Linked DNA regions of Schizosaccharomyces pombe. The gene in region 1 interacts genetically with each later gene. Each region holds a gene or a part of one and is shown in the gene's direction. Other genes may lie near its edges.

Region 1 (5,919 bases):
ACCATACTCAATTCTGCCGAACGAGTACCTTATCTTATTATGGTTGAGGTCCTATCTGGTGAACTCAGCTTCGAGCCACAATCGAAGAAAAATAAGGCTAAGGTGCAAAAGATTGTCTCTCATAAAAACCAAAGAAAAAGGTGGTTTGACCTCACAGATGTCGATCCTTATACGAACCTTCAAGACAGTACCGACAATGATATTTCAGAGTCGGAAAGTGAGGGAGGGGATTTAAGTATGTCTCCTCTGATAAAAGGGTTGGTACCGGACACTCTTTCTTTGAGTAAGTCATTCTCTTCGTTTGGTAATGTATCTTTGCAGGTACCGTCCTCTCATAGAGATACCGATGTCGTCCTGTTATCTGGGCGCCACTCTGATTCTGATGGAAATGGCGCCTTAAAAAGAAGTAAAATCTATGCTTCAGAAATAACAGCGAGAATGCGAGCTGCGGCAACTATGCTAAGTCAGCTTGATGCTGAAGGTAGCAGACGTCCCAAAGCTGAGACTGAACGAATAAAAAATAGCATTATTCTTGACATGCAAAGACTCGAAGAAGAGCGCCTTAATGAACCATCCATTTATCCTGTTTCAGTCGACATATCATGCGCAGAAGATCTGCGATTTGGCAAAGAAACTCAAAAGGCAGAACGGAAAGGTGATAGAGATGATCCCAGTGCCGCTACATTCCAAGAAGATTGGTATGCCAAGAAGGAAAGGATAAGAAAGTCTTCTCCTTATGGTCATTATCCCAATTGGGATTTGGTCAGTGTGATTGTTAAAACGGGTGCGGATCTCCGGCAAGAGACATTTGCCTGTCAACTTATATACGCGTTTCAGCGTGTTTGGCTAGAGTGTAAAGAAAAGGTTTGGGTTCGAAGGATGAAAATTTTAGTGACCGGCGACAATAGTGGCTTAATAGAAACGATTACAAATGCCATTAGTGTTCACTCTATTAAAAAGAATTTGACGAAACAGCTTCGGGAAGCTGAACTAGCCCAAGGAAAAATTGCTGGTAAAAATGTTGTTACATTGAAGGATTATTTTATAAAGCAGTTTGGTGATCCCAACAGCAGCCGGTATCGACAGGCACAGACAAATTTCCTTCAATCATTAGTGGCATATAGCATTATATCATACTTACTACAGTTAAAGGATAGACATAATGGTAACGTTCTTATTGATAGTGAAGGTCATATTATACATATTGATTTTGGCTTTTTACTTACGAATACACCGGGGAATGTTGGCTTTGAAAGCGCTCCATTTAAGCTTACGGCGGATTATTTAGAAATCCTTGACGACCGGTTTGATGAATATCGTTCCTTGATGAAAGCTGCGTTTAAATCTGTTCGAAAAAACGCTGATCAGATCATTTTGCTTGTTGAAGTTATGCAAAATAATTCCACAATGCCTTGCTTTCGTGCTGGTGAAAACACAAGTGCACAACTTTTGCAACGTTTTCAACTACAGCTTGGTGACAAAGAATGTGATGACTTTGTGGATTTGTTGATTCAAAAGGCAAATTGTAGTGTTTGGACGAGACTTTATGATCTGTTTCAAAATATTACGAACGGAATTTACTAGTAAGTGGCTATTCGTTTTCTCTTTTCATTTTTTTCGAATACAGCTACGGAGCTTCCACACTTGAACCATACTGCTGGTTGGCTTTTTTAACTTTCAATATTGTATTAAAATCACCACATTCACCATGGTTCGTAAATTTGGTAATTTTTTTGTTAGCTAGATTAGCTATATTAATGCATTAAAAATATTTTATGTGATCTATATGATTTATCATACCCACTAGAAACCCTTGCAATTATAATATACTATTAAAGCATACTGTCTAAATTAACTGCATTTCTAAGTTAGCAAACAATTTGGCGTAGTTAAATCCGGGTTAAAGAATCCTTTCGCACTTCCGTATATTGACATACCAAATTTTAAAGTAAGATTAGGTACTGCAACCCACTTCAATTTACCCTTTACCATCAAATTGAAAAATTAGGCGCAAACAGTAATTGTATATTAGAACTTGGAATTTTTTTCTTTTCATTTATAATTTTGTGTTATAATCCTTTGTTCCTTCTTCTACTAGGGGTTGTTTCTTTGCACAATATTGTAGTTGACATTGGTTAATGGGGTATCTTCATATTGATTACAGTATTCGTGATATAACAAAGAAATTTGGTAGGAAAATTTTAGTGTTGATTAATAGTTTTTCTTATCAGGATTATATCCAACTGAGGTGAATTATTACTTGAGACTTTACATCATTAAATTTTATGCAGGTATTAAGTCGTGATTATATCAGTCAAACAAGTACCTTTTGAATTCATTTTCATACCTCTTCTTGCTTGAAAGAAAGAAAATCCCTTTTTGCATCTACAAGCAATTAATCCAACAGTGACATTTTGTGTTCGTATTTTCTTTTACAATAATCGTACATAAATTGGTTTTTTGAGTGATTATAAAATGATGAATAAGTGGGCAAAAAATTGGTTCGGGCTGTCTAAAAAATCGGTTTCCACCAATTCTGCTAAAGGGTCACTTCCCCGAAGTCCTTTGGCAAGCATCCAAACCAATCAACCAGTTGAGGAAGGTGAAGGTGGTTCACTTCCTTCAGTTTCAAATTTAGGTCCTTCCTCGATAGACCATCCCATGGAAGAATTCGCCAGTGACCAGTCTACGGTTGGTAACAGAAATAGTAATGATATATTACCTGAAGTTGACCATGAACCTTCAGGCTATTTGAAACTTCAAATAGGTTCATTAGTTTTGGGAGGACCTCATACTGATGCAGCATTAGCCATGGAATGCTCAAGACTTAATCAGTTGTTTGTTGTTGTTCAATTTGGTACGACGGAGTTTGTTTCACCTCCATTGAAATGGGAATCACCTGGCCGTGATATAGGCACATCTAGTCGGGATTCTGCTAATGTGAGTAGGAGTTCATCTATGATGAGCTCTCATCCCATTCCTACTCCTGCAATTCAACGTACGTCTTCAATTCCAAATCCCTTAACTCCATCTTATGTTGTATTTGATGTTGCTAAACCGGTCCCCATCGATGTTAATATTTATGACCATGGTAATAATAATGAATTTGTTGGGAGAACTTACATTCACCCGTCTTATAATTATGGTCAATTTGAACAGTTTTGCAACAGCGTTGAAGTTTCTCCCGCATACAACCGTATGGTTGATCTTCGTCTTTCTCTCAATACTGTTTTCCAGCCTCTCAGTCAACACTCCTACGGCCCTGATGACTTCGTTCCGTTGAAATTAATTGGAAAAGGTACATTTGGTCAAGTCTATCTTGTTCGTAAAAAAGACACCGAGCGCGTATACGCAATGAAAGTACTTTCCAAAAAAGTAATAGTCCGTCGCAAAGAAGTTGCACACACTGTTGGGGAAAGAGACATTCTCGTCCAAACTTCTGCAGCTGATTCGCCCTTCATCGTTGCTTTACGTTTCTCTTTTCAGACCCCCAAAGATTTATATTTGGTGACAGATTATATGGCTGGAGGCGAATTATTTTGGCACCTTCAAAAATCGGTACGATTTCCAGAAGAAAGGGCAAAATTCTATATTGCCGAATTGTTGCTTGCTTTGCAAGCGTTGCATAAACGAGGAATTGTATATCGGGATTTGAAACCTGAAAACATTCTTTTGGACGTTCAAGGACATATTGCCTTATGTGATTTCGGTTTGTCAAAGGCCAATCTTTCAGTGGGGACTACTACACGTACGTTTTGCGGTACCACGGATTATCTAGCTCCTGAGGTTATTTTAGACGAAGCAGGGTATGATATGATGGTTGACTTCTGGTCTTTAGGGGTACTTTTGTACGAGATGACATGTGGCTGGAGCCCTTTCTACGCTGATAACACACAACAACTTTACAAGAATATCGTGTTTGGTAAAGTCCGTTTTCCTAGAGGGTTGCTATCTGTAGAAGCCAGAGATTTGATTAAGCTATTATTGAATCGTAATCCAAAGCATAGGCTTGGTGCACATGGGGATGTTGAAGAGGTAATGAAGCATCCATTTTTTGATGGAATTGATTGGAAGAAACTCGCTGCGAAAGAAATTAGTCCACCATTTAAACCAATAGTGGAAGGTGAAATAGATGTTTCTAATTTTGATGTCGAGTTTACAAATAAAGCAATCGATAGAGACTTTAGTAGCACAGATGAAATGTCGACCTCTGCACCTTTATCATCAACTGTCCAAAATGGGTTTAAGGGTTTTACCTATATTGACGCAAGTGCTATGGATGAAGCATTCGGATACCACAACTCAAATGATTCTGCTTCTAGTATTTCCAGTCAAGATGATTATTCTAAGGACAATTCCGATATGGACTTAAATCGTGCGAACGATGAGGTATTTATGGGACAAATAGATCCATAATACGTTTGGTCTCCACGAATGTATCACTGCATTGAGAATCTTATGCCCATATTTTTTCTAGGCTGGATCCCTGAACCCGAGAGTATCTTTTTGTACACGCTTTCAATCGTTGTACTATTTTCTTATTTACTAGTTGTCCAGCAAAATTTCAACATGTATTTTGAAGGACAGGTAAATAATGTTTTAATTTAATCAGCGCTTAATCATTGAAGCGTATCGTTTTAATTTTTTTTTATTTCCCTTCTAAGAATGATTTTTTAGGATTGTTATTAAGATGCCTGTTTATGTGGAAGCAGGTTCGGGTGAAGTTCATTTTTTTTCGGTGCATATTAAGGGAATACTTAATGATCAAAGGATCTATTATTTCTATATTTTAATCTACGTTCACCAGGCTTTTTTGGTGTAATGTTGGGCTTGTATGGCGTTGAATCAACTAATTTTGGAACAAATTGTGCTTAGTTTTTTTGGTTCCGAACTATGACTTAATTGTGTACAGTGGTAATTACACAATTCCAAAATTCGTTGAATTGGCTGACATTAGTAGTAAGGTATTTTGCTTTACTAAGTAATTGTCATCTTGCTTAAGGCTATTCTATCTCCAATTGTAATGTCTTCGATTTTGTTCCTCTCCTTATTTTTTTTTTATTTTTCTCTTTTGCTGGATAGACGTTTATTCAGTTAGGTTGAAGTTCAGTTTTACGAATGTATAATGGTGTATGTTAGAATCTAGTTAAAGACATATTCTTTTAAACGCAAAGGAATTTAAAAAAAAGAAAAGACAAAGTACAATAGCAGTATTATTGATGCCCTCCTTGAGGGTCGTTTTGTAATAGATCTTCAGATGAAGATGTATTTGGATACTGTCGTATACGATAATTTGTTTTAGATATAACGATAATGACATAAAAATTTTTTAACTATGGTTTTGGAAACCAGTTTATCGATTTTTATTTTACTTGTGATTCTCTTCATTCATTTGTCTTGTGGGTCTTTGCCACAAATATTCGATATAATGTTTATAAAAACTAAATATGTAAAAAAATAACCTGTACATTCATTTTATTAAAAAAAGTAATTATAATAAATATTCTTTAACTTATGGTACACATAATATTGTTATCATGTATGGTCTTGATGGAGAAAAGGTAAATAACTAAACTAAAAAATTTAAAACGAAGTAAAAAATATCGGTAAGTACGAAAAATAGATAAAATTTAATAAAAAAAGGAAAAAAAAAAAAACAATTACATTTTCTCAAAAATCACTTGAAAACTAAAGACTCTTCTTGTTTTGTAATACTAGACTTATTCAATTTGACTAAGTAAAACACACTTGTATAATAAATAGTATATTTTATTTGTAATGATAACAAGGTCTCGTGGCCCAATGGTTAAGGCGCTTGACTACGGATCAAGAGATTCCAGGTTCGACTCCTGGCGGGATCGTTTTTTCAAAAGCTCAAATATCGTGAATACTGTAAAATACCTTTTAAGATCGTGCGTC
Region 2 (4,384 bases), on another chromosome or scaffold:
TAAGAACAAGGATTTACCCAAATCTGCTCTTATTGATTTGGTTATTGCTACCACTGCTCTTAAGTATACTCAAAGTAACTCTGTTTGCTATGCTAAGAATGGTATGGTTGTTGGACTTGGTGCTGGTCAACAATCCCGCATTCATTGCAACCGTTTGGCCGGTGATAAGGCTGATAACTGGTGGCTTCGTCATCACCCTAAAGTCTTGGGTATGCAATTTAAGAAGTCTGCTAAGCGTCCTGAGAAATCTAACGCTATTGACTTGTACGTCCTTGATGCCGTTCCTGCTGAAGGTAGTGAACGTGAGCAATGGGAGTCTGCATTCGAGACTATTCCCGAGCCTCTTACTAAAAAGGAGCGGGAGGAATTTTTGGCTACTTGCAAGGATGTTGTCTGTGCCAGTGATGCCTTCTTCCCCTTCCCTGACAACATCTATCGTCTTGCCCAAAGCGGTGTCAAATATGTTGCTGCACCTGGCGGTAGTGTCATGGATCAAGCTGTTCGCGACACTGCTAATGAGTTCAACATGGTCTTTTCCGAGATCCCCTTGCGTTTGTTCCACCATTAATCTTGTTTGTATACCTAATTTTTGACCACTATTACTATGGATATAATTTTTTTTGTTCTGTATATTTGATAGGTTTCCTCAGTTTATACCATCATTTAATAGAGGTATTACAATAAAGACTTCAACGTCTTTTACTTTTTTTGATTTAATATAAAAAAATTTGGCATCTTTTTTGTATCCTGAATTTTGAAAAGATTTCCGATACTCAAGGCATTTTATTTCAGTAATAGTAGGGAAAATATTTTTTATTGTTTAACACGAATGCAACAATTTTATTCGAAAGCTTGGAAATTCACAGCATAACGGGCTCAATAAAGCATTTTTGGTTGCTAAGCTAACATATGAAGTAGAAAGGAAAACGCCATCAAACCTGCTTTTTGGATGTGAGCTTCGCAGTAAACTGACTGAGTTAAACATGTTCTTGGGTGTTTGCAAATTTCTATTAAATTGATTGAGCGTATGTTTTTGCTGCAGTTGATTTGAAGCATAAAAAATCCGGTCAGGGAGGGACTCGAACCCTCGACCTCACGATTAACAGTCGTGCGCAATAACCAACTATGCTACCCGACCTTAGTTACTCACGAGCAAAATTAGTACTATTTAATGGTATTAAAAAGGATTTAATGACTTTAAAATTGTTTTTTTTTTAACCCCATTCTTGCTTGATATATTTCCCATCTTAAAGGGTTACATACTCTTATTCTTTTATCTTTCATTCGATTGTGATTGATTTACCATATCAATAATCATCTTACAAGACCGGAAACTATCAACTATCTGGACGTAAAGTGAAGCATAAAGAAGATGGCATAGAGGACGGAAGGGAATTTTTATTATTATTCCAAGAAACCATGCTAAAATCACGTTTAAACCCTACTCCCTACTAACTCAGTATCTACTGAGTAGCTTTCATAGGTCTCGAACCGAATGGGAAAGACCAACGCTTTCTACATTAGAGAAAGTGGTTCTCTAAAAAATATTTAAAAAAGTATTTCTTTCTTGTTGCTTTTCTTTTTGTTACAGCGAACAAGTGCTCCCTTTAAATAGCTTTTTTGTTTTCATCCTGCCAGTCCTTACAACAATCCCTTACCACTGTGCACCAATACAACCTAAAGTTGAATTTCTGTAACAGTAGGATTTACAAAAGTTCTTTTGATTCTTAATTAGTATACGAGATGTAGCACTTCTACACGATTACTGTGTCCATGTACTATATGGTTGTATGCCTCTCAAAATAAAGATGACATATTTTCAGACTACCTTTTTCAAAAAGAAGGCTTCTCAATTCTACTGCTACAATTTATTCGTACTATCATTTCTATTATTGAAATTTCTCTACCATACATTTTAATTTCACTTGACAAATAGCGATACGTTAATGAACGCTATTACTGAATATGTACGTCGCTGGTACCACTAACACGTATGCGTTAGGAAACGTGATTTTAACCAAAATCTGTATAGAGGACGACTTTACATCGTTCTAGTTTAACACCTTTCAGTTTAAGGAATTTTCTTGATGTATTCAAAAGAAAGAAGGCGTTTATTAGTTTGACTATTCGCTTGATGAAATGGACCCAGGAGTTTCATCGCATCTCAGAACTGCTAGCCTTGATGAAGCAAGAAGGCTTCCAGAGCTTGAGCGTGTTTTAAAATCCGGATGGTTGATAAAGAAAGGACATGCAACTTCTGTATGTATTCATTAACTTAGTTGTCTGAGTAATATTTACGATACGTTTGAGTGGAAAGGGATTTGGAGTATTCTTTAATTTTGTGAAGTGTACTTAGAAGTGAATGATACGTACTCTTAATTCTTTATTGTTCGCTTTTGATTTGGGGATATGATGATGCAAACAGCACCCTACAAGCACTTTGACCAATTGATTTTCAGAATATTCCAATTATTTGCTTCCCGTTTCAGAGTCAATATTTGCACTCATGGTTTTTTTTGTAGTGGATGCTAACAACCTAGACTAAAAAGCAATTATGGGCTGTTCTTCGCAGAGATCAGTTATCTTTTTACAAAGACGAAAAGGTTTGTGAATAAAATGTGCAAATTTCAACGACGCGCTAACAGTCTTCAAGGAGTACAAAACCAAATTTATTTTCCCTACTCAGGATATTTCAGCTGTTGCCTACTACAAAGAAAAATCACCAAAAAGTACGTTAGAATTTTTGATGTTTATATCTAATGTTTAGCTTTTTTCCTGTATTTAAATGAAAAGATAATTCGTCTCATTGCCACTTCAAATGAGGATGCTGAGGAATGGGTTCATGTTCTAAGATCCACAACGGGTTATAGGGCACCGTTTTCAAGACATCCTATCAGTTATATCCTTGCGAACTCTTCATCTCGAACCGAAAGCGAGCCTAACGTTCAGATCTCTGATACTGACTTCGACAATATTTCGACTGAACCTCGTAATCAAACGACTTCTCCTTTAGACTTGGAAACTGGTCAGGGTGACCATTTCTGTACTTCACTTTATGATTTGATACAGTTTGGAAAGTTGAGACCACCAGGTATCAATGAAGAAAATGCAAATTACCCCTTCAACCCACAAGAAGTTAATACGCTGAATAAGCACAGGCATTCGGCTTCCTTACAAAATCTCTATAAACTCTTGGATGAAAATAAAGTTCTTATGCAAGGAACCATTCACTGGCTACATGGAAATTTACATAGGTGGTCCAAGTGTTGGGCTGTTGTTCGTGGATATGGTATGACTATTTACAACACGAACCGAGAGTACAAACCTGTTAAAGTGATACCGATAGCCGACATTCAGGATGTTGCTGAAATAAACGTTCCGGAAAGCTCACACAAATACTTTTTTACCGTAATTACGCAAAACAAACCTATCGAATTTCGCGTTGATAACGAAGATTCACTTATACTCTGGGTTGCTGCACTTAAGACTTCTATTGACAAGGCCAATGGTACTTTTACTGCTTGTTAAAAATGGCTTTTCCATCAAAATATTTGGTGCATAATACGATTCCTCAGCTACTTTTCTAGCTACCTTCTTGTGATTTCCTTTCATAAGACTCCCCTTACCCTTCGTGTACATACGTGTTGATCCGTTCTGTTTCTATATGTTTTGACTATCTCGTTGTTTTTTTTTTGTCTAATAATATTTCCGATAATGTCCGAAAATCGACACAGCTAGTTACAAAAGTGTCTTTCTTGCTCTAATTTAATGATTTTTTTCCTTCGTCATGAGCCAGTTTGTAGTACCATCGTTCGCTCCACTAAACAAACCTTTTGATGAAAATTATTTTCAATGTCATAACTATCCCTAAAATTATCCTAACCGAAAAACACATTTTTTAACTAAAATAAATTATTCTTTTGCTGATCAGTAAAATGCTTGTGCTTTTAAATATGCAATGTTTTTTTTGTCTTCTTCTGTAATCTCTGCTGAAGTAGTAGCTTTAACATCCACAAAACACTGAATTTGCTCAAGTGGCTCAAGTGATTGACCGGACTGCTCGAGTTTTTCTAGAACTGACTCTATAGTAAGCTCTTCTCCAGGAGGTATGGGGACTTTGTTAGAGGGTGTTACACAGTCCATCTTAACATCTTTTCTTAGTACATGGTCAATATCAACGGAAGAAAAAAATGCGACAGATTGTGGAAGCTCGTTGATGCCAAGTCGTTGACAAAAAAACGCACGAGTCCACAAGTTAGCCACCTGTAAGGCAAATGCAACCCGATATTTATCTTTATCTGATGATAAATAACGAACCTCGTCATGAACAGTTAAAGAAAGGCGAGCTTCTAGATAATATTTCTTAATTAAATGATTCATGGAT

Evidence for each region. Genes that interact genetically often act in the same process or in processes that back each other up.
Region 2: mutations in sck2 (region 1) and opy1 together harm fitness more than expected from each alone (negative genetic interaction), as found in Schizosaccharomyces pombe (2 studies listed by BioGRID).

What each region holds. Positions count from the first base shown.
Region 1 is NC_003424.3:5,045,074-5,050,992, reverse strand, and holds sck2 (serine/threonine protein kinase S6K family Sck2), read left to right. Parts: upstream 1-1,980; 5' UTR 1,981-2,475; coding exon 2,476-4,416; 3' UTR 4,417-5,377; downstream 5,378-5,919. Other genes in the region: Golgi-specific 1-phosphatidylinositol 4-kinase, type III-beta Pik1, read left to right, coding at 1-1,584. UniProt on the Schizosaccharomyces pombe protein: Protein kinase that is part of growth control pathway which is at least partially redundant with the cAMP pathway.
Region 2 is NC_003421.2:944,016-948,399, reverse strand, and holds opy1 (protein opy1), read left to right. Parts: upstream 1-2,015; 5' UTR 2,016-2,139; coding exon 2,140-2,259; exon of another isoform or gene 2,260-2,540; coding exon 2,541-2,603; exon of another isoform or gene 2,604-2,653; coding exon 2,654-2,729; exon of another isoform or gene 2,730-2,767; coding exon 2,768-3,528; 3' UTR 3,529-3,884; downstream 3,885-4,384. Other genes in the region: ade10 (bifunctional IMP cyclohydrolase/phosphoribosylaminoimidazolecarboxamideformyltransferase), read left to right, coding at 1-568; pog1 (DNA polymerase), read right to left, coding at 3,928-4,384. UniProt on the Schizosaccharomyces pombe protein: Binds phosphatidylinositol 4,5-bisphosphate (PtdIns(4,5)P2/PIP2) at the cell membrane.